5 linked regions of the Sus scrofa genome follow. The protein of the gene in region 1 interacts with the protein of each later gene in a pairwise test. Links are inferred from orthologs where the notes say so. Each region holds a gene or a part of one and is shown in the gene's direction. Other genes may lie near its edges. The genes, in order: AKT1, EGFR, ARNT, PPL and RASSF1.

The links.
Region 2: the proteins of AKT1 (region 1) and EGFR interact in a protein complementation assay, tested with the Homo sapiens proteins (3 studies listed by BioGRID and IntAct, with this or other methods). The link is inferred for Sus scrofa from reciprocal best matches to the Homo sapiens genes AKT1 and EGFR.
Region 3: the proteins of AKT1 (region 1) and ARNT interact in a protein complementation assay, tested with the Homo sapiens proteins (2 studies listed by BioGRID and IntAct, with this or other methods). The link is inferred for Sus scrofa from reciprocal best matches to the Homo sapiens genes AKT1 and ARNT.
Region 4: the proteins of AKT1 (region 1) and PPL interact in a two-hybrid assay, tested with the Homo sapiens proteins (2 studies listed by BioGRID and IntAct). The link is inferred for Sus scrofa from reciprocal best matches to the Homo sapiens genes AKT1 and PPL.
Region 5: the proteins of AKT1 (region 1) and RASSF1 interact in a protein complementation assay, tested with the Homo sapiens proteins (2 studies listed by BioGRID and IntAct, with this or other methods). The link is inferred for Sus scrofa from reciprocal best matches to the Homo sapiens genes AKT1 and RASSF1.

The regions. Positions count from the first base shown.
Region 1 is NW_018084979.1:3,039,314-3,042,881, reverse strand, and holds the end of AKT1 (RAC-alpha serine/threonine-protein kinase), read left to right. Parts: intron 1-71; coding exon 72-159; intron 160-1,484; coding exon 1,485-1,587; intron 1,588-1,808; coding exon 1,809-1,888; 3' UTR 1,889-2,605; downstream 2,606-3,568. UniProt on the Homo sapiens protein: AKT1 is one of 3 closely related serine/threonine-protein kinases (AKT1, AKT2 and AKT3) called the AKT kinase, and which regulate many processes including metabolism, proliferation, cell survival, growth and angiogenesis.
Region 2 is NC_010451.4:139,430,867-139,435,086, forward strand, and holds part of EGFR (epidermal growth factor receptor precursor), read left to right. Parts: intron 1-32; coding exon 33-149; intron 150-3,237; coding exon 3,238-3,364; intron 3,365-3,456; coding exon 3,457-3,530; intron 3,531-4,220. UniProt on the Homo sapiens protein: Receptor tyrosine kinase binding ligands of the EGF family and activating several signaling cascades to convert extracellular cues into appropriate cellular responses.
Region 3 is NC_010446.5:98,367,588-98,371,807, forward strand, and holds part of ARNT (aryl hydrocarbon receptor nuclear translocator), read left to right. Parts: intron 1-1,932; coding exon 1,933-2,146; intron 2,147-3,683; coding exon 3,684-3,786; intron 3,787-4,220. UniProt on the Homo sapiens protein: Required for activity of the AHR. Upon ligand binding, AHR translocates into the nucleus, where it heterodimerizes with ARNT and induces transcription by binding to xenobiotic response elements (XRE).
Region 4 is NC_010445.4:37,501,814-37,506,033, forward strand, and holds part of PPL (periplakin), read left to right. Parts: intron 1-156; coding exon 157-335; intron 336-417; coding exon 418-556; intron 557-1,226; coding exon 1,227-1,420; intron 1,421-2,650; coding exon 2,651-2,801; intron 2,802-3,871; coding exon 3,872-3,955; intron 3,956-4,220. UniProt on the Homo sapiens protein: Component of the cornified envelope of keratinocytes. May link the cornified envelope to desmosomes and intermediate filaments. May act as a localization signal in PKB/AKT-mediated signaling.
Region 5 is NC_010455.5:32,815,175-32,819,249, reverse strand, and holds the end of RASSF1 (ras association domain-containing protein 1), read left to right. Parts: exon of another isoform or gene 1-634; coding exon of another isoform or gene 635-679; coding exon 680-784; intron 785-981; coding exon 982-1,279; intron 1,280-1,399; coding exon 1,400-1,515; intron 1,516-2,135; coding exon 2,136-2,282; 3' UTR 2,283-3,094; downstream 3,095-4,075. Other genes in the region: TUSC2 (tumor suppressor candidate 2), read left to right, coding at 4,046-4,075. UniProt on the Homo sapiens protein: Potential tumor suppressor. Required for death receptor-dependent apoptosis. Mediates activation of STK3/MST2 and STK4/MST1 during Fas-induced apoptosis by preventing their dephosphorylation.

The DNA.
Region 1 (3,568 bases):
TCGTGGGGGAAGGGCCGAGCTCTGGGCCGGGCAGGAGGCAGCCCCCGTCACCATGGCCTCGTCTCCCCCAGGCTCGGCGGGGGCTCTGAGGATGCCAAGGAGATCATGCAGCACCGTTTCTTCGCCAGCATCGTGTGGCAGGATGTGTATGAGAAGAAGGTGCGTGGGGGCCTGTGGGCCGGCCCCCCCCAGCCACACCCTTACTCAGGCTCTCACCTCCACCCCCACACGGTGGCACACCTGCACACACACGCTTACACGCACATCCACTCACACACCTGCTCCCACCCCCACCCCTGCTGGCACACCTGGTCTCACACACCCTACACCTGCACACACACAGGCTCACACCTGCTCACACACCTGCACACACACACCTGCTCACCCACACGTGAGGAGGCCCCTGAGGAGCGAGGCAGCTTCTTCCTAAACATGTGCCTCTGCCCGTTGCCTCTGAGGGACTCGGGAGCCCCAGGCCCTGGCCCAGCAGGCTGGGGGCAGGAGGGGGATGTCCCCGGGCTCGTTGACGTCCTGTCACAAGCACACCTCGCCCCCATTTCCAGTCTCCCTCGCCTGCAGGCCACACGCAGCCGGCTGGGCCTCTAGCCCCTGAGAGATGGGTGCCCCACCCTGCTCAGCTCCAGGCCAGGGGCCTGCCCTCTGGGGGCTGCAGTGCCCACCCTGTTGGTCCCTGCTAGTTCCCAGGGCAGCCCCACCCCCAGGCCAGGGCCCTGGTGGGGGTGGGGTGGGGCGCTTGCTTCTCCCCCCAGCCTGGCCCCTTACACTTGGCCTCTCATTCCGCGTCGTTGGGAGTCCTGCCTGTGGCCACGCTCAGGGCCACTCTGCTACCCGGGAGCTGCGAGTGAGGCACCAGACTCCCTCCGGTGGACCCCTGAAGGACCAGGCCCCCCGAGGGGAAGCGGGCAGGGGAGGGCGGGGCCCCATCCACATCTCCTGGGCGGGGCTTGGGCATCGCATCCCCCTCCCTCCCCAGGGCACCTGGTGGGGTTGGCACAGGCCCTGGGCAGGGGGCAGTGGCCGGCTGCTCCGGGGCCCCCTCCCGGGTGGCAGTGGGCCCCCGAGCCCTGCCCTCCCCTTGTCTGGCATTAGCCTCTGCAGCCTGGGCCTGCCGGCGGTTTCTGAGACACCCGGAAAGGAAAATAGGAGCGCTGGAGAAAGAAAAGTGGCCAGGGCCCCTTCTGCCCCGGGGGTGGGGTCCTCGGAGCTGGGCTGCACTGCCTCCTATCACCTGCAGGGGCGCCGTGACACTGCTTGCGGGCTCTTGGTTGAGGGGCACCCACCTAGGCCCTAGGTGGGTCCCCTCCTGTGCAGGTCTCCTTCCAGAACTCTGCCTGTGGGTGGGGACGGCTGCCTGGACACCGTCCCCTGGGAGACAGGAGTCATTTCCCAAGCCAGGGGCACAGCTCCCTGGGGGCCGTGGTCCGGGCGGGTCCGGGTCTGTAACCCAGCCCCCCTTTCCGCAGCTCAGCCCACCGTTCAAGCCTCAGGTCACGTCCGAGACGGACACCAGGTATTTCGACGAGGAGTTCACGGCGCAGATGATCACCATCACGCCGCCCGACCAAGGTGAGGGCCGCGCCTTCCCCTCCGCTCCCCCGGGCGCGCGCGCGCACCATCCCTCGGCGCTGCCCTCGGTGGGAGGCCGGCCGTCCAGCGGCCCTCGGGAAGGCTGCCTTTGGGGGGTGGCGGCCGCGGCAGGAGGGCCTCGCGGGGCGAGGAGGCGAGCCTGCCGGGCGCTGGGGTCTCGCTGGTGCCCGGGCTCTGAGCCGCCCCGCGCGTGCCCGCAGACGACAGCATGGAGGGCGTGGACAGCGAGCGGAGGCCTCACTTCCCCCAGTTCTCCTACTCGGCCAGCGGCACGGCCTGAGGCGGCCAGCCGGGCGCGCTCTCCGGACGACGGCTTCGAAGGGAGGCGGGAAGCCGCGCTCGGACCTCCTGTATTTAATGGGTTTTGTTTCTGGACGCGTTTGGGCCGCACCGGGCTGCTCCTCCCACCAGGGATGCGCGGCTCGCGCTGTGGCGGCTGTGGCGGGGGCTGCCCGCCCGGCCCCGGGCCGCCTCCCCAGCCTCCAGCCGGGCCGGGAGGAAAACGCCCTGCAGTTTTTCCTAATTTATTCATCCGGTTCTCCAGGCGCGGCCACGCGCCGCGCGCTCTCGGGCCGGGTGGGCCTCGCCCGCGCTCCCGGCCGCACCGACTCGGCCCGGAAGCAAGCCGGGCCAGGAGCGCCGGCCGGGGCCTGGCCGGGGCTGGAGGCGGGCGGCCCCTGCGTGGGGCTGGGCCGGGCGAGATCCTGCTCTGTTCACGCGCGTCCTGGGGGCTTCATCTCAGAAGGAAGCCCCCCTCTGCCCCTGCCCGTTGGGACCATCCCATCCGATGGCTCCCCTGGTTAGCAATTGTCCTCATAGAAGCTTCACCCTCCCGCTGTCGCCGCGGCCCCGCCCCACGCCCTTTGCAGGGGCCATCGCTCCGCCCTCCGGCCAGACGCTACGCTGCACCACGGCGGTTTTTTATATTCAACTTTAGTATTTTTACTATTATGAGACTTTCCCTCCAAATTCCTCAATAAAACTTGCTTTTCAACTCCGTGGCTTGTTTAGTTAGGTGGCCGGCCCACTGGTGTGGAGGGCCCTGTCCCTCCTGCCTCGCGGTCCCGAGGGCAGCCTACGAGGATAGGTGTCCCCCACGCAGCTCTGGCAGGACTCGGTGGCTTCGCCCCAGTCCCACGCCCCGAGAAGGCCACCCAGACTGCACGGCCACCTGCGCACCAGCCCTGTCCATCCAGCAGATCCTGGTCACGGGGAAGGACCGGGACCCTGAAGGGCCCAGAGCTGGCCAAGGTCGAGACAGGGCCACCGCCAGGCCCTGGGACCTGAGGAGGTGCGAAAAAGCAACCTGCGGGGGGGAAGGCGTTACCCAGGTGCCCCGCCCTAGGACCCGCGCCGAGTCTGGCGGCACGGGAGGGCAGGACGTGCCGCGGGCGCCACCTGGTGGGCGCGGAGAGGAACCAGCTGCCCAGCACGAGCCTGCTGCTCTTCCTGTCCCTGGTGGACTCAACCTCGCAGGTGTGGCCAGGACGCGGGGACCGTCACAGGGCACGACGTTTGCCGGACCTGGCGCCCGGGCCTGGGGGAGGGGGCAGAGCTGCCTGTCTCCCCAGGCTCCGCGGCAGCTGATTCTGACCATAAGGCCTTGGGGTGGGGCGGCTGCAAGGAGCATGGGGCCGAGGGCATCCAGAGCAGCCTGGTTCTCCGCCGGGTGGTCCCTCACTACCTCCGTTTTGACAGGCTCCAGGACACAGCTTTTGGGGATACCCAAACCACAGCAAATGCTACCTACTAAACAAGACTTTGGACCCAGATTTCAGATAGAAAAAAATGCATCAAACTGGAAGCCTGTCCACGTCTGGCAGGAACGAGAGATAGTGCAGCCTCTGGAAGACTGTATGGAGGTTCCCCAAGAAATTAAAATACAGAGTGGCACGCGACCCAGCAGTTCCGCTCCTGGGTACACAGATCACCCCAAAGAGCCGAAAGCAGGGTCTTTTTT
Region 2 (4,220 bases), on another chromosome or scaffold:
CGCATTGGCCGCCTTCCTTGTGTTGTCCCCAGGTAACTACGTGGTGACAGACCATGGCTCCTGTGTCCGTGCCTGCAGCTCCGACAGCTACGAGGTGGAGGAGGACGGCGTCCGCAAGTGTAAAAAGTGTGACGGGCCCTGCGGCAAAGGTGGGAAGCTGTGCAGGCGGCCACGGTCACGGCCACAGCCACAGCCGGGCCTCCTGCCCCTGGGCCTCATACTCCTGCCCCACGAGAGCTGAGAGGTTGTCCTGGCGCAGAAAGGGGACCCTTCCTGGGCGCCGGCCTTGGGCACCCTTGACGCAGTCCGTCCCTGCTCACCTTTGAGCTTTTGTCTTGGAACCCGAAGATGTTAAAACGTCCAGGAGTGTTGCAGGAACGTGGTGAATGCCCCGTGGCCTTGGCGGTGCCCGGCAGCCGCCTCGTCGCTCGCGCTCTGTCCGGGCGTGTGTGTCCGGGTGTGTGTGTGCCTGCGTGGTGTGCGTGTTTCTGCCCCGTAGTGATTACCGCTGTCACCCTCGCCCCTCACACACTCATCAGCCTGCTTTCCTACAAACTGGACCGTCTCACCCTCATCCTGAGTTTAGCATCGACTGAGTATGATTCTGTTCTCACTTTAATTCCAAGCCTGCCGTCCCAGTGTGTCCTTTTTAGCTGCTTTTGCTGCAGAATCCAAGCCAGGGCTGCGGGGTCGCTGCTCTTGCTCACTTCTGGGCAGGGTCTCTGCCCCCATCCCCTTTCTCTCACGGGACCTGAAGTGAGGCGTCCAGGCTGGTTGAGCTTTTCCTGCAGGTGGGACCCAGGTGACGTACTGCGGGCAGAAGTGTCGACCACGTGGCCCAGCCATTTCATCCTGTCTCCATGATGATAAATTGGATCATTTCTTGGTGGTTATAAAGATGGTTTTCCATATCTGTCATTCCTTCTGCATTTATTAGCTGATATTCTTTTTCGCAATAGTTTCTAGTGGCCAGGTAAGGTCACCGGATCTTTTCTTACTCACTCTACGGTCACCCCTCTTTATCACGCTCGGTCTGTCTCCCGTGTGCCCCACCCCCCGCTGGCCCCATGTCCTCGGGGCACGTGCCGCGTCTAGATCGTGACTTCCCTCCTTGCTTCAGCTCCGTGTGTCCCGGAACTGCATTCCTGCGAGGCTGGCCCATACTTTATCTAGCCAGCCTCCCTCAGGATGGTCATTTACACTGCGTCCACGCTTCCGCTGTTGTAAAAACACCTCTGTGACTAGCTGTTTGCCTTGAACACCCACTTGAGATGAACTTTCCCTAAAAAGTGTCTGCGGTTTAGTCGATGCTCTTACCTGTCACTCGCCGAATCCGTCCAGCCCCTCTAGGTCTGTGCTGTTACCCCCCATCTTACAGATGAGGCCCTGAGTCACAGAGAATCGAGAAGACCTGCCCGGGGCGACAGCCAGGACGGGCAGAGTCAAGCTGTGACGCCTCAGTCCCAGGCCAGACCCATGAGCCGGGCTGTGGCCTCCTGGTCTAGGGACACCTGTGTGGCAGGTGGGCCTGTGCCTGGAGGGAGGAGCATCCTTTGGTGGCCGGAGACCTCTGGGCAGAGGGCACGTGGAAGGAGGACAATACGAATGGGAGTAAAAGAGCTGAGCAGGGAGAGAGGGTTCCTAGCAGCATCCTCACGTGGATCGGTAAAATCAGACATCGTTTTGGTTTTGTTCTGTTAACTTCGTGTTCATTTCTCCTGCAGTCATTATGCTCCATTTTCTACCCTCCCTGGTTCTCATCCTGGAGAGAGCAGTGGCCGACTCAGATCCCGTGGAGTGAGGGCAGTGCCACTGCATTGGGGGGGGGCAGGAAGACAGGCAGGACAGGGGTGTGTGTTGAGAGTCCACAGCTTCTGCAGATCTGATAGGTCCAGGGCGACTGTGTGATTTATCTCCAGATTTAGGGATTACGGTAACCCTGCCACTGTCACCGTCAGACGTGAGCAGAGAGGGAGAGTGAATATTCTCCCAAATGCGTGGCATTCTCTTCCACAGCTGTGGCTAAACAGCGCTTGTGTTGCTGAAGCCTCCTTGCTGTTGATAGGGAAACCCTTGGAACCCCAAATCTGTTGCATTCCAAAGCCGCCAAGTGTTAGATGCAGCACGGGGCGGGCCTGGGGGTGGCTGATGGGATGGGGCCCACAGCCAGGTTGCAACCCAGGGTCTCCTTGCAAGTGGCAGGAGATGGAGCAGCAGGACGTGACCGCGTCCCTGGGAAGTTGGGTGGTGGGGGGCTCATCCTGAATGAAGAAATTTTCAGTGATTGCCGTTCAAAGGGGGATAAAATCTGAAAGAGAGCTAACAACTGCACTGAAGGTAAAGCCAAAGCAGATGAACGTGCTGTGGATGACAGTGGCACTTGGGATGGAAATTCAGGGGCGGATAGAAATTAGCGCATGGGCTCAGAGTGTGGAAACAGCGTCGGGAATGGTGCCGCAGCGGGACACAGACCAGAGCACACAGTTTCTGTGGCGCCAGTAAACACTGTGGAATAAAAGCTGTGTTTCTGATGAGCGTTACCACAGTATTATTCCTCATGACGTGACATCACACAGCCATGAAAATCCATGTTGTGAATGGTTCTAATGATGGGACAAATGTTCACAGCCCAGTAAGTGAACACGACAAGCCAGCCCCACATCTAGTGTGACATAACCATGGGGGAGAACTAGAAGGAAAGTTCTCAAAATGTCAAAGGTACATAGTAGAATTGCTGGTCATTTTGTTCCTCTCCATTCTGTGTTTTCACATTTTCTTAAACAAATGCTTCTTACTCTTTTAATAAAACCCAGTCTGCATACTGTCTCCGTTAGAAGGCCGGGCGTCACCCCGGGTGAGGGCAAGGGCACTGCTGCGGCTTTAGCGGGGGCGCCAGCCAAGGGCCAGCACAGTGCAGCATCCGCCCCGTGGGGCCGCCGTCTGGAGAGGAAGCGGGGCCCTTAGGAGCACCTGACCTCTGGCCCAAGTGGGAAAGTGAGGAGGAGAAGGCAGGTCTGGTGAGGGCACTCCCGTCAGGACCGCAGCCCAAGCCCCGGTCCGGTCCCAGTCCCAGTGCTGGAACCCAGCAGCCCAGCAGTGTCAGCGGAGCGAACGCGGGACCGCGGGGCGGCCATGGTCCCACGGCTGTGCCCTGCCGCCTCCTCCCTGCCTTGGGAGCCCTCGGTCGTCTTCATTTCACAAATGTGAAGGGAACAATCGCCTCCCTTGTCTTTACAGTTTGTAACGGGATAGGGATTGGCGAGTTTAAAGACACACTTTCCATAAATGCTACGAATATCAAGCACTTCAGGAACTGCACCTCGATCAGCGGAGATCTTCATATCCTGCCGGTAGCATTTAGGGGGTGAGTACAGCTGACGTCAGGACCTTCTGGAGAAAAGCGGGATCCGCTTGGCTCCCTGCAGGCCCTTATGGATCCTCTGTGGCCTGTTTCAGTGACTCCTTCACACGCACGCCGCCTCTGGACCCCAAGGAACTGGACATCCTGAAAACCGTGAAGGAAATAACAGGTGTGCCGCTAACCTGCCGTCTTAGCACACGTGGGAGGCAGGTGTTTTACAGGGAGAACTTTTAGGCGATTTTCTCTTCCCTTGCCATTAGCGAGTAATTCATTCTTTGATATTTTTCAAAACCGCGGCTCCCCGTGCTCTCAGGAGGCAAACTCTCTAAGCAGAGTCGAGTCACCTGGGACTCGGTGTGACGTGCGAGGTCTCAGCGCCCAGCCCAGGTGGCCGGTCAACAGCCCGGGATGGAGGGCGGAGGGCCAGGCACTGAGCTGCTGCGGGCTCCCAGCCCAGAGACACGTGTCCTGTCCTGCCCCAACACCGGCCTTGGGCCCGGGGCCCGGCAGCTCCACTTTCTTCATCCCTAAAAAAGGTGTAACTGGACTTTATAACAGGATTGGCTTGAGAATTGGAACCAGATAGAGATTTCACGTCAGTCTCCTTGTGGCGCTAAAGCTCAGAACTGGCCCCTGCCTTAGAGAGCAGCGGCCTGTTTGGGGTCTCAAGAGGGGAGCTCCCACCGTGGGTACAGCCTGCGGGGCGAGTCGGGCTCTAGCCCAGGGCAGCAGGGGGCTTGTTGTAAAGGGTGCCTGGTGCGTGTGGCTCTGTGTGTGTGTGTGTGTGTGTGTGTGTGTGTGTGTCTGCAAGTGCTTAGTGAGGAGGATGAGGAGAACAAAACATTCGCCGTCTGCTCCT
Region 3 (4,220 bases), on another chromosome or scaffold:
AAAATATTGACCTGTAATGCCACCCTTTTATTTAGAGGATTAGAGGAAGGAATGTGGTTTGGAAGAAAACAATAAGAATTTTCCAAATAGGATGGTCTTTATGAAAGCACATGTAGCACAGATTTTAGATGTATATATATGTAGATAGGTAGATAGCTAATCAATTTGTTCTAACAGAATACATACAGATATTGATTCAACAACTCCAGTTATGTAACTTTTGTGTGCTTCGTGCTATGAGAAATTTAAAAGAATTGTAAGAGATAGTCACTGGTAAAAACAGACATATAAATAAGTAAATCATAATATAAACAGAATCAGTTCTGTAGTAGAGGTACAGTAATAAGTCCTATAGAAGTGCAAATATGGAAAGCAAAAAATAGAATAGTGTTGCAGTATTGGAAATAATTTGATCAAAAGCATAGTGAGATTGGTGATGATTGGGTTATTCAAGGAAAATCAGGGAGTTTAGCATGTCTTGGAAGATAATAATAGGAAGGTTGACTGGGACTTGATGGAATATTTAGGTGTTATGTTAAATAATTCACATTTTAATTTTTAGTCAATGGAAAACTATAAAAAAATATGGTAGCATTTTAAGGATGGATTGGAGAGAGTGAAAACAGGGAGACCATTAGTTTTAGCATGAGATGACTTGGGCAGTGACACTGTATTTGAAAATAGAATTGTTAAAACTGAATTATCTCTGGAGTGTAAGAGAGAGTAGTTACATTTTTGAGGCCTATAGCCTTAGAGAAAGGGGATACTTTTTGGAGGGGAAGATAATGAGATGTTAAAATTGAATTTCTGATAGAATATCTATTTGGAAATCCTTAATAGATTTTAGGCAAGTTTAGAGATGTAGACTTGGGTATTGTTTCATAGTGGAGAAGTAGAGATGATTTCTCAGGGAGAAAGTATGTATTAAATAGAGAAGAGAACTTAAGATAGAACCTTGGAAATGCCTACACTTGAGACTTAAACAAAGGAAAGAGAGCCTGAAGCAGAGAAGGGACATTTGGAAAGGAAATAAAAGTTGGAGTGTGGTGTCTTAGAAGCTAAGGAGAAATAAATTTTAAAGGCTAAAATGAACAACACTATCAGATTCTGTAGCAAGATTGGTATAGAGCCCAGGAAAGAGGGCTTGAGTTGTCAGTTAGGAAGATGTTAGTAACCTGAAAAAAACATGAATGTTGTAGCTTAGAGAGGATGACAGTGGGATGGAGAAATAAATGAAAGATTAAGTAGAGCCAGTGAGTGTAACATTATTCTTAGTTTAAGCTTGGCCCTGAAAGTTGAGTTGGGCAAAGTTGAGGGATGATGTGTCTAAAATTGAGAAAACTTGATCATGTTTAAGATACCAGGGGAAAGAGAGAGAAATGGGAATATTCGTAGAGCAAGATCCTAAAAAGAGACGAGAGAGGGTGAGTTTAAGAACTCAGTTATTGTTAGTGGTAAGCCTTTTTATTCCCTATCTTGAGTTCTCAGGGTTTTTTGGTGGTGGTTTTGTTTTTGGCTTTCCCGAGTCATATGGAGTTCCTCAGCCAGGTTCCTGAGCCACAGTTGCTAATTGCCTACACTGCAGCTGTAGCAACACTGGATCCTCTAACCCGCTGTGCAGGGCCAGGGAATATGTGTCCTGATGCTGCAGAGATGCTGTTGATCCCATTGTGCCACATCGGGAACTCCTCCCATCTTGAGTTCTGAGGAGGAGGTGGCTGGTGACGTAGACACACTGAGGAAATATCTGTTGGAAAAAACTATCTTGTCAGTTAAGGTGATTACATTTAGGGTGCAAAGCTGTGCCTGTGGATCAGACAGAAGCCAGCATTTGCTTATGGAGAGATACATATGGCTTTAAGTGTCTTACTTCTTTCCATTTTTGGTTTTTTCTGACTTCAGTATTGAGTTGTATTTCTCTTCTTTGGACAGGAACTGAAACATTTGATCTTGGAGGCAGCAGATGGCTTTCTGTTTATTGTCTCATGTGAAACAGGCCGGGTGGTGTATGTCTCCGACTCAGTGACCCCTGTTTTGAACCAGCCACAGTCTGAATGGTTTGGTAGCACGCTTTACGATCAGGTGCACCCAGATGATGTGGACAAACTTCGTGAGCAGCTTTCCACTTCGGAAAACGCCCTGACAGGTATGAGTTATGTGGATGGAAAATGAATGGGAAGTCCTTTCTTCTTTTTTTCTGAGACAGAAGACGTGTTTTTAACTCTAAATTTTTTTATTGAATCTGGCAAAGCTTATAGAATTTTCTCCATTAATGAATGTAATTGTTCTTTTATCCATATGCAGGTAATATGTTTTGTAGCTCATCCTTAGAAAATGTGCATTAATGACAATGCTCATATAAAGTTTAATCTTAATATTAGTATAATTACACAGTAAAAGCCAAACCTACGATGCCCCCTCATTATAAAAGAGTTAAATTATCCATGTTTCTGTATCATTTGTGTAGGTACTTGCCTAGTATTTTTTTTTTACCCACTTATGCTTGGCTTTGTACCAGGTTCTGTGGTAATAGATTTTCGTTTTAGAGGGAAGTGGTTTTCAGTCAGTGTATAAGGGTTTTTTGTTTTTTGTTTTTTTTGTTTTTTTGCTATCTGTGCTATTTTTCTGTTTTGTCTTTGTCCCAACCCTGTTTGCCCCTCCCCCAATTTAGTGTTATTCAGTCCTTTTGCCAGAGTTTGGCTAAAGGAAAAAAGTCACATCTGCTCCCAAGCAATCTGGAAAAAATTTTAATGTGGAAGCAAATTAAACAATCAATTAAATCCATTATGGTCATATTAATTTTTTAAAAAATTACTTAATGAATTTTATTACATTTATGGGTGTACAACAATCATCACAACCAAATTTTACAGCATTTCCATCCCAAATCCTCAGAGCATCCCTTCACCCCCCAACCTGTCTCATTTGGAATGGTCATATTAATGTTGATATTTAACTTTCCCTTCATTTATGTTTTTATGGATTTCATTTTTCTAGTTCTTCTTTTTCCCCAAAAGTTCTCGTTGGTTTCTATATAATAAAGGGAGGAACACTTTTAGCATGAGACAGGTGGCTGTTTCTATAACATATAAAATTGTTTTTATCTATTTATTTATTGATCTTTTTAGGGTCGCACCTGTGGCATGTGGAGGTTCCCAGGCCAGGGGGTGAATGGGAGCTGTAGCCACCAGCCTACACCACAGCTCACAGCAATGCCGGATCTTTAACCCACTGAGTGAGGCCAAGGATTGAACCCACGTCTTTGTGGATGCTAGTCAGGTTTGTTACCCACTGAGCCATGATGGGAACTCCTAAAATTGTTTTAAACCAGTGATACTCATTTCATGTTTGTGTGCATGTGCATATGAATGCATGTGTACAACATTAATCAGACCTAAGAATATATAATCTTGCTTGCCAACTCTACCTACTTCCACTCCTGTCTTCCCTTTCACAAGGTTATTTCCAGTGCTGCCTTTGAACTGAGTAGTAAGATTCATTGATGGGAATCAAGGTGCTTTAGGCTTGGGAAAAAAAAAATACATCTCCTACTTGGCTTATTCCGTCGTAAGCAAGGAGATTGGAGAGCATGAATAGGCTATGTATCTTTGCTTCCAGTATCTCTCCCCCTTTTCCCCACACACAAGAATGCATTCCAGACTGCTCTTCACATCCTTCTTCAGGGCGTATCCTTGATCTGAAGACTGGAACAGTGAAAAAGGAAGGTCAGCAGTCTTCCATGAGGATGTGTATGGGCTCAAGGAGATCGTTTATTTGCCGTATGAGGTGAGTGTCTGGAGGATTGTAATTTGCTGTAGGAAGAATTAAGAGCTGATCATCTCATTTCTGGTCAGAGGAGTTAAACTTTTAAATCCAAGCTTCGTTTAGGTAAAATTTAACTCTCAAGACCCACATGGGTTGTAACAGAATAAAGTGATAAGGAAACTAACTGAATTCTTTCTATGCCACACATTATGATAAGTACTTTGGGTCTGTCATCGCATTTCCTACAACTGTTCTGTAGGATAGAATTCATGGTTACTATTTTGCTGATTAAAAAAAAAGCCCCAAGCAAGAGTTCCCACCGTGGCTCAGCAGTAACAAACCGGACTAGTATCCATGAGGATATGGGTTTGATCCCTGGTCATTTACAGAAAAAGTATACTGACCCCCAGTAGAGAATCTGCATTTGAAGAGCATTTAGAATATTTTGACTTACA
Region 4 (4,220 bases), on another chromosome or scaffold:
TCACCACCCATGAGGCCCCGGCCACTGCATCTGAGCTCCTAGGCCGGCGCCCCAGACCCCCAGCCAGGCTGCCCGGGGAGAGGGTCCTGGGGGAGGAGGTCCTGGGGGAGGGGAGCTGCCAGCTGTGACCAACGCCAGGGGCTCTGGTCCCCACAGAACATCACCAACGAGCTGCTGCGGATCGAGCCCGAGAAGGTGCGCAGCACAGCAGAGGGCGAGGCGTTCGTGCGGGCCCAGCCCAGCAGCAGCAGCGCAGCCCTGCTGAGGACACGGGTGGAGGACACCCAGCGCAGATACGAGCGCCTGGTGCAGCTGCTGGCTGCGGCCCAGGAGAAGTGAGCACGGTGGGCGGCAGGGAGGCCAGGCAGCGGGGCCAAGGGCCTGGCTCCCCCTCCAACTCCTGACTCGCATCCTCAGGGTCGACACGGCCAACCGCCTGGAGAAGAGCCTGCAGCAGGGCTGGGAGGAGCTGGCCACGTACGAGAACCTGCTGGCCCAAGAGGACACGGTGCCGGAGTGTGGCCATGCCCTGGACAGCAAGAGGCAGGAGCTGGCGGTGAGCGTGGGGACCCATCTGAGCTGGTCGTGGGCTCCAGGTGCCCGCCTCTCCCAACCCCTCCCTTGCGGACAGTTGAAGGCCCGAGGCCCAGGGCAGGGAAGTCTCTGCAGGTTTGAAGTTCCAGCCGCACACGGGGTCTGCAGACATCGGGTGGTACCTTAAAATCAAATATCCACGTACCGCGCAACCCCAAATTCCCAGTATCTCTCGAAGAGCAGATCTGGCCCTGGGCCCACAAAGCAGGTGTGCTGAGCAGAGGAGCCTGTGCCCTCTTCACATTTGCCACTGGGCTGCTCTGAGCTCCGGGGCCTGAGCCCGTGGGAGCCTCATGTTCACACGCCGGCTCACCGAACCCTTGGCTTTGTGCTGAGCGCCTCACCTCAGAACCCAGGAGTGGGCTCGGAGAGCAGAGCCTCAGCCCAGGCTGTTCCCGGCCTGGCGTCACAGATAAGCACAGCGGGCCACAGGGTTTTAGAAGTTAGTTTTTCTAGGGTGTTGTCCATTGTAACAAAAAGGGAATTTCAGAAACGACCACAGGTTTGAGGAGGAACGAAGAGTCAAATCCCCGGCTCCTGCCAAGGCCCAGGCTTACCACCCGCGAAGCGGGCAGCTCTGGGCCCTGGAGTTCTGGCCACAGCACCTACTATCTGCCTCTCTGCCCTGACAGGCCCTGGCCTCTGAGCTGCAGGCCCGGAAAGCCCTCCTCGGCGAGGTGGAGCAGAACCTGCAGGCAGCCAGGCAGTGCTCCAGCTCGCTGGCCAGCCGCTTCCAGGAGCACTGCCCGGACCTGGAGCGCCAGGAGGCGGAGGTGCACAAGCTGGGCCAGCGCTTCGACAACCTCCGCCAGCAGGTTGAGCTCAGGTGCGGGGCCGTAGGGGGGTGACAGCCTTGGCTTAGCTAGTCTGCCTTAAGGCACCAATGTGGCATTTCTGTGGATGCCTCCAAAAGTGGTTTGTTTTCTGAATACCTCTTTTTGAAAATAAGCAGTACATATACAAAGTGACAAACACAAGGTGATTGTACAGCCAACCTTCCCCTTAAGATCAGCTCTGCTGACAGTCTGTTCCTATCCTTCCAACACTATTTTGAGATCAGGAGCAGGTAGATATATCATTTGAATGACAACATGCCACCCAGTGTCCCTTGCTGTCTTCCCTGTCCTGTTTTGCCAGCCTCAGGAGTCAGTGTTCCTGCTGGTGCTTCTCTTCTGGAAGAGGCCGTGTCGAATGGCTGTCAGGGTCTTAAACGCTTGGTAGAATTCACCCACCAGTCACTGCCATCTGGGCCCGCAGCTTATTCTTTTCTGTGTAAGGTTTTTTAACTACAAATTCCACCTCTTTAATAGATGATGAACTATCTGACTCACTTAATTCTTGAGTTGTCTTCAGAGGTATGTGTCTTTCAGGGACACACTGTCCCTCTCCAGTTGTGGACTTTAGTGGTACGAAATTGTTCAGAATATCCTCTTATCCTTCAATGTCTGCATATCTGGGGGATGTCCTCTCTCTCCTGACGTCGTGTCTTCTTTTCTGTGTTTTCTTTTTTCCCCTAGCCATTCTGCCTGACGTGAATCAATCTGTTGACTTTTTCAAAGAATCAGCTTTGGTTTGGGGGATCCTTCTGAGTTGTTTCTTACTTCCTATTTCATTGACATCTGCTCATTATTATTTGGTCCTGCTGCTTAACATTAGCTTCAATCTGCTGTCTTTCATCCTAAGCTTCTGCTTAGACTGTTGATTTCAGAGCTTTACTTTTCTAATCTAAGCATTTAAAACTACATATTTCCCACTGAGCACTGCTTTCACGGCGTCCCACGGATTTCTTTATTCTTGGTGAGTTCAAAAGATTTCCTCACCTCCCTTCTGATTTCTGCTTGGATCCACGAGCTGTTTAGGTCCTAGATCCACAGTGGGCAGCCCCGTGCAGTATTCCAGCCCCACCTTCCGTAATTCACCTGACCCCTCCCTTCCTGGTGAGCGTTTACGTTATTTCCAGATAAACCATTTGGGGAGTTCTTTCAGAAGGGACGGCAGGCAGCCCTCAGTAGGCATTGGCTCTCTGTGCAGAGGTCTGACCGGCTTTGCCCCACAGGGCCCAGAGCCTGCAGAGCGCCCAGGCTGCTCACGATGCCTTCCGCAGTGGCCGTGACCATCTGCTCCAGTTCCTGTCCCACATCCCCAGCTACGAGCCCCAGGAGATGGACAGCCTTGGCCAGATGGAGACCAAGCTGAACAACCAGAAGGTAAGACAGCTGCCTCTAAGTTCACGGGCAGGGGGGTCAGAGGTCAGCAAGCCTCTTGGCGGATGAGGCCCAGGTGAGGTCCTGGCAGGGTGGGTTCCCAGCACAAGTCTCTGAGAACAAAGCCGGTGTCTCCCTCACCTCAGTGCCCTCCCTGCACTGGGCCTGGCTCAGAGTGGACACTCCGTGCAGGCCGGCGAAATAAGCAAATGGCCACAGAAGCACAAGAGGAGCCGTCATGGGGAAAAACGCATGTCCACAGCCCAGAGTCCTGGCTCCCCAGGAGGAAGCAGAGCCTTGGGCAGAGGAACGACAAGAGACCCACCCACCTAGGCTCAAATCTCGCTCTCACCCACACTGTTGTTGGTTTCCTCATCCAGAAACGGGATGAGGAGGGTGCTTCCTCCCAGGATGTGGGGGTTCAGTGAGAGAAGCTAAGACAGACTCTAGAACCGTAGCTGAGATTGTAACGCACTCACTAAACACTGCTTTCCTGGCAAAGATAGCTGTCCCTGGCTCTTCTTCAAAGGGACTTGGAGCTGCCTTTTGTAACAAACAAATGTAAACAAGGAACCATTCGTTACACTTTGTGCCACAGAAAAATAACTCCAGGAGTTCCCATTGTGGCTTGGTGGGCTATGAACCCAACCAGTATCCATGAGGATGCGGGTTTGATCCCCGGCCTCGCTCGCTCATTGGGTTAAGGATCCAGCATTGCCACGAGGTGCAGCAAAGGTTGCAGATAAGGCTTGGATCTGGTGTTGCTGTGGCTGTGGTGTAAGCCGGCAGCTGCAGCTCCAACTCAACCCCTAGCCTGGGAACCTCCCTATGCCACGGGTGTAGCCCTAAAAAGAAAAAGGAAAAATTTCCAAGATTCTAAGACTCCTACTCTATCGATGTTTTTTCTTTTTAAATTTTTGATTTTTTTTTTTTGGCCACAACCATGGTACGCAGAAGAGTTCCTGGGGCGGGGATCAAATCCTGGCCACAGCAGCGACCACACCGGATCCTTAACCTGCTGAATGCACAGGAACTCCTAATTTTTTATTTTTAAAGTCTCTGTTGTGTTCCAGAACCTGCTAGATGAGATAGCAAGAAGGGAACAGGAAGTACAGAAAGTCTCCACCCACTCCCAGGAGTACCAGCAAGCTGTCAAGGTGAGATGTGATAGCCCTGCGGGGAGTGCAAAGCAGCCCGGCTGGAAGGAGGTGTCCCGGGGCTGGGCCTGGGGGGCTCCTCAGGCACTGCCAGCAGTTGGCACAGCCCTTTGGGGAAACACGACAGTATTAGGCATCGAATACAGAAAAGGGTTCCTAACTGTTGAAGCAGAAACTGAGGGAATCTATGCTAAAGGAAAACAATACAGAGAAAGTAACGCAGGATAAACAAAATCACTGCTAAACAGTATTTACAACAGCAAAG
Region 5 (4,075 bases), on another chromosome or scaffold:
AATGGCATGTCACAGTGGTTTCCTCACTATGTCAGATATACAGGGCTGGCCCCAAGTCCCCCACCAGGGGGTGTTAATTGTTAACATTGTAGAGGTTGCTGTTCCCCTTCTGCCCACTGGCGGCCGAGCTCCTGGTATGCACCAGTCCCTACACCTCTCACTGTATAGAGGGTCTTGGTCAGGGCAGAGTAGCAAAGTGGATTGCCTTCTCCAGGACACGCCCTGACCCCACCCAACTAGGGTGCTGAGATAAGCTGTCCATCCTCAGAATCCCCATCCTTTTCCTAGCCCCTAGCCTCATTCATGCCTTCAGTTACCTTGGTTTCCAGGTATTCTTAGGGCCTTACCCAGTGCTAAGGTGGCTCCAGGCAGGAAGTAATAGGTTATTCTCATCAAGGCTCAAACTTTTCTTTGCTTTTTGGCCACTCCCACATCCTGTGAAAGTTCCGCGGCCAGGGATTGAATCCACAACACAGCTGTGACCCAAGCTACTACAGTAACAATGCCAGGTCTTTAACCCACTGAGCCACCAGGGAACTCCAGACCTCAAGCTTTGTTGTCACTTTCTATAGGCCACTTTTCATAGTGGTCCATCCAGGGCTCACTTCCTTTGCCTGTGACACATTACAGAGGAATGGGTTCCTTAAGAATCCTGTGTCCACACCTTCCCATCTTTCAGGATGAGCCCGTGGAGTGGGAGACACCTGACCTTTCTCAGGCTGAGATTGAGCAGAAGATCAAGGAGTACAACAGCCAGATCAACAGCAACCTGTTCATGAGCCTTGTGAGTTGACATCCTGTTTTGGAGAGGGGCAGGAACCCAGCTGTGTGCCTGATGCCCAAGGATCACAGCTGAGGTTTTCTTGGGTAGGCCCAAGCAGTGATTTATTCATACCCAGCCTAGCCCCAAGTGGGCTGGTAGCATCCAAATCTGTTCCATCTCACTTGGCACCTAGTCATGGTTTGCTTTTTCTTCTTCAGAACAAAGACGGCTCCTATACAGGCTTCATCAAGGTTCAGCTGAAGCTGGTGCGTCCTGTATCCGTTCCCTCCAGCAAGAAGCCACCCTCCTTGCAGGATGCCCGGCGGGGCCCAGGGCGGGGCACAGCTGTGAAACGCCGTACCTCCTTCTACCTGCCTAAGGATGCTGTCAAGCACCTGCATGTGTTGTCACGCACCCGGGCACGTGAAGTCATCGAGGCCCTGCTGCGCAAGTTCTTGGTGGTAGATGATCCCCGCAAGTTTGCGCTCTTTGAGCGGGCTGAGCGCCATGGCCAAGGTGGGCTTCCCACTCCACCCCACCCCATCATGTCTGAAAGTAAATGTGCTTGTGCATGCAGCAGCTGAGGGGACTGGGCCTGACTAATCAAACACTCCCGTCCCCCTGCCTGGTCCTCAGTGTACCTCCGGAAGCTATCAGATGATGAGCAGCCCCTTCGGCTCCGGCTCCTCGCAGGGCCCAGTGAGAAGGCCCTAAGCTTTGTCCTGAAAGAAAATGACTCTGGGGAGGTGAACGTGAGTATACAGCCATCCTTAGTTTCTTGGTTGTCACTGGGCAGGACTGGTGAGTTGCAGCTACAGTAGCCCTGCAAGACCTCTCCCAAGAGTATTTGAAACTTGTAGCTAAAGTGACACTCATGCCAAGGTCTAGGGCCTAACTCAAGAAGCCAGGAAGAAATGTCTTTGTGCTCTGCTCTTTCCCATTGTGGAAAGCCCTCCGGTGATGCAGGAGTCCCATTCTACAGTGTGGTGGTCAGATCAAAGTCACACAGATGGGCACAGGATGACATGGAGGCACCCCCTTCAGGCATTAGAACTTTTTACCTGGAATCTTTCTAGCTCCAAGGTAGTACACAGGCAGAGTGAGATTTAACTCAGAGAGAGTGGGTATGATTATCCACAGGTAACTGGGGAACATTTGGCTTGGCTGCCTGTCCACGAGGTGACCGCCCTACTTTGTGGGGCCCATCTTGTATGTGGATTGTCGTTGGAAATCCTAGCAGAGGCCATCAGGCAAGAAGCCGACTTTAGAAAGCCCCATCCCAGCTGTGTGATCATGATGCTCTGGTCTTTTCTGGGGAGGGCTTGCTGGCTTGTTGGTGTGTGCTGCAGCCTGTGTCTCCCCCCCTCTACAGTGGGATGCTTTCAGCATGCCTGAACTACACAACTTCCTACGCATCCTGCAGCGGGAAGAAGAGGAACACCTCCGCCAGATCCTGAAGAAGTACTCCTATTGCCGCCAGAAGATCCAGGAAGCCCTGCATGCCTGCCCCCTGGGGTGACCTCTTGTACCCCTGGGGTGACCTCTTGTACCCCTGGGTGGAAGGAGGAGAGTAGGCAGCGCCAAGGGCGTGCCGTGTGAGTGTGCGAAGGCCCATGTGGCCTGAGGAATGAATGTGCATGGAGGCCCTCTCTTGCTGGGGGAATGAGCCCAGAGAACAGCGAAGGAGCTGGTCCCCTGTGTCCACAAGTGGGTGTAACAGAGCATGGCTCTGCACCCTTCTGCCCTTCATGTACTGGGTCATGGTGGGCCAGGGTTGCCCTGGGAAGCTGCTCCAGGGTTGCCAATGGGGCTGGAGCAGACAGAAGTCTACTTAATTTGTATCTTAGATACAAGAATCTTTGAGATCCTACAAACAAATAATAGGGTCATGTTTGCAGGGATGAGGGCCCTCATCTATGGTGAAAGATTGTGTTTTAAGTCTTGGATAGGGTCTCAGGACAGCCCTGTCACAACCAAGGATGGATATTCTAGGCATCAAGGAAGTCTAGGATTCTCTCTGTAGCACCCTCTGACTCCTCAGACACTCTGGGGTCAGGTAGTGCTAGCTCATGGTGCAGCAATGGTGCCTCAGTGCCTCCTCCAAGGAGGATGTCCCTGGGTCAGGGTTTGTGTGTGGGCACTGGCCCACCTCTGTGCCTTGTTTGCCAGTCAAAGCCAGGGTCTTTCCCTTGAGTATTTTTGATGATGTGTGCGAATGTATGTAATATTTTGTGACCTCAGCTCACTGCCTCCTGTTGGGAAAGGGGTCGGGGTGAAGGGCATCAGGGCCTGGGGCTTGAGAGAATTGGCTGAATAAAGATTTAAGCATTCTGCTTTTGGATTCTTTTACGGGCCCTCATCTGCAGTTGCCCCTCATGCCAGTGGCTGCCAAGATTGACAGACAGCCTCATAAAGCACCTTTTCCACGGGGACCATGAGACCAATTTGTGAAGGTTGTGCGATATGGATATGTACTTGGTCATTAGTCAACACCTGGGAGCTCAGGGCATGGTAGAGGCAAGAACATCAGCTGTGGCCGGAGCTTAGGGAAACCACACACTTCGCCAAATATTCAGACACTGGTGTGGAGCAGACACTGCTTATGGGACCGAAGGTACAGATGTTAACCTTCATGAAGCATGGTTTTTGGTGGGTTTAGAAAGAACACGATTTGAAGTTCTTCAGTCCTGAATGTAGCCATACAACCACTGGCCAATTCTCCTTAAGTTCGGTATTTTCTCCGCATGCCACGGTGGGAATAGCAAACAGCGTGGGAATACAATGAGGCCAGAGAGGCACTTCCCAGCCTGGCCTGAAGTCAGGCCCTAAAGTGCTGGTTTGAGAGGACCTGGTGGTTGGACGGGTCCGCTGAGCCTGACTTCTAGGGGTTGTGGACGTTTACGCCGCCACACACATCGAAGAAGCCAGGAGCACACCGCCACAGGTTTCTTGTGTGGGAGCGGCCCCAGGTGGAGGGAGCGTGGCCTGCTGGGAACTGACGTCTCGCAGTGCATGCTAGGATGCCTAGCATCGGAGGACGGCTATTGGCCCTGCTCCGCGGATCGACGAGAGAAGCAACCAATTAGAGGGGGCAAGGTAAAGAGCATTCGGAAGCGGAAGTGAGGTTTCCGTGGAGACAGCGGAGCCTGAAGGTGGTGGTGGCGGCGGCGGCGGCGGCGGCGGCGGCACCTGCGAGCGGAGGCTGAGGCAGGGCATGGCGGTGCTGTCGGCCCTCTAAGAGCGAAGCGGCCGCGGACCCCGCCATGCATCGGTGGCCCTGACATGGGCGCCAGCGGCTCCAAAGCTCGGGGC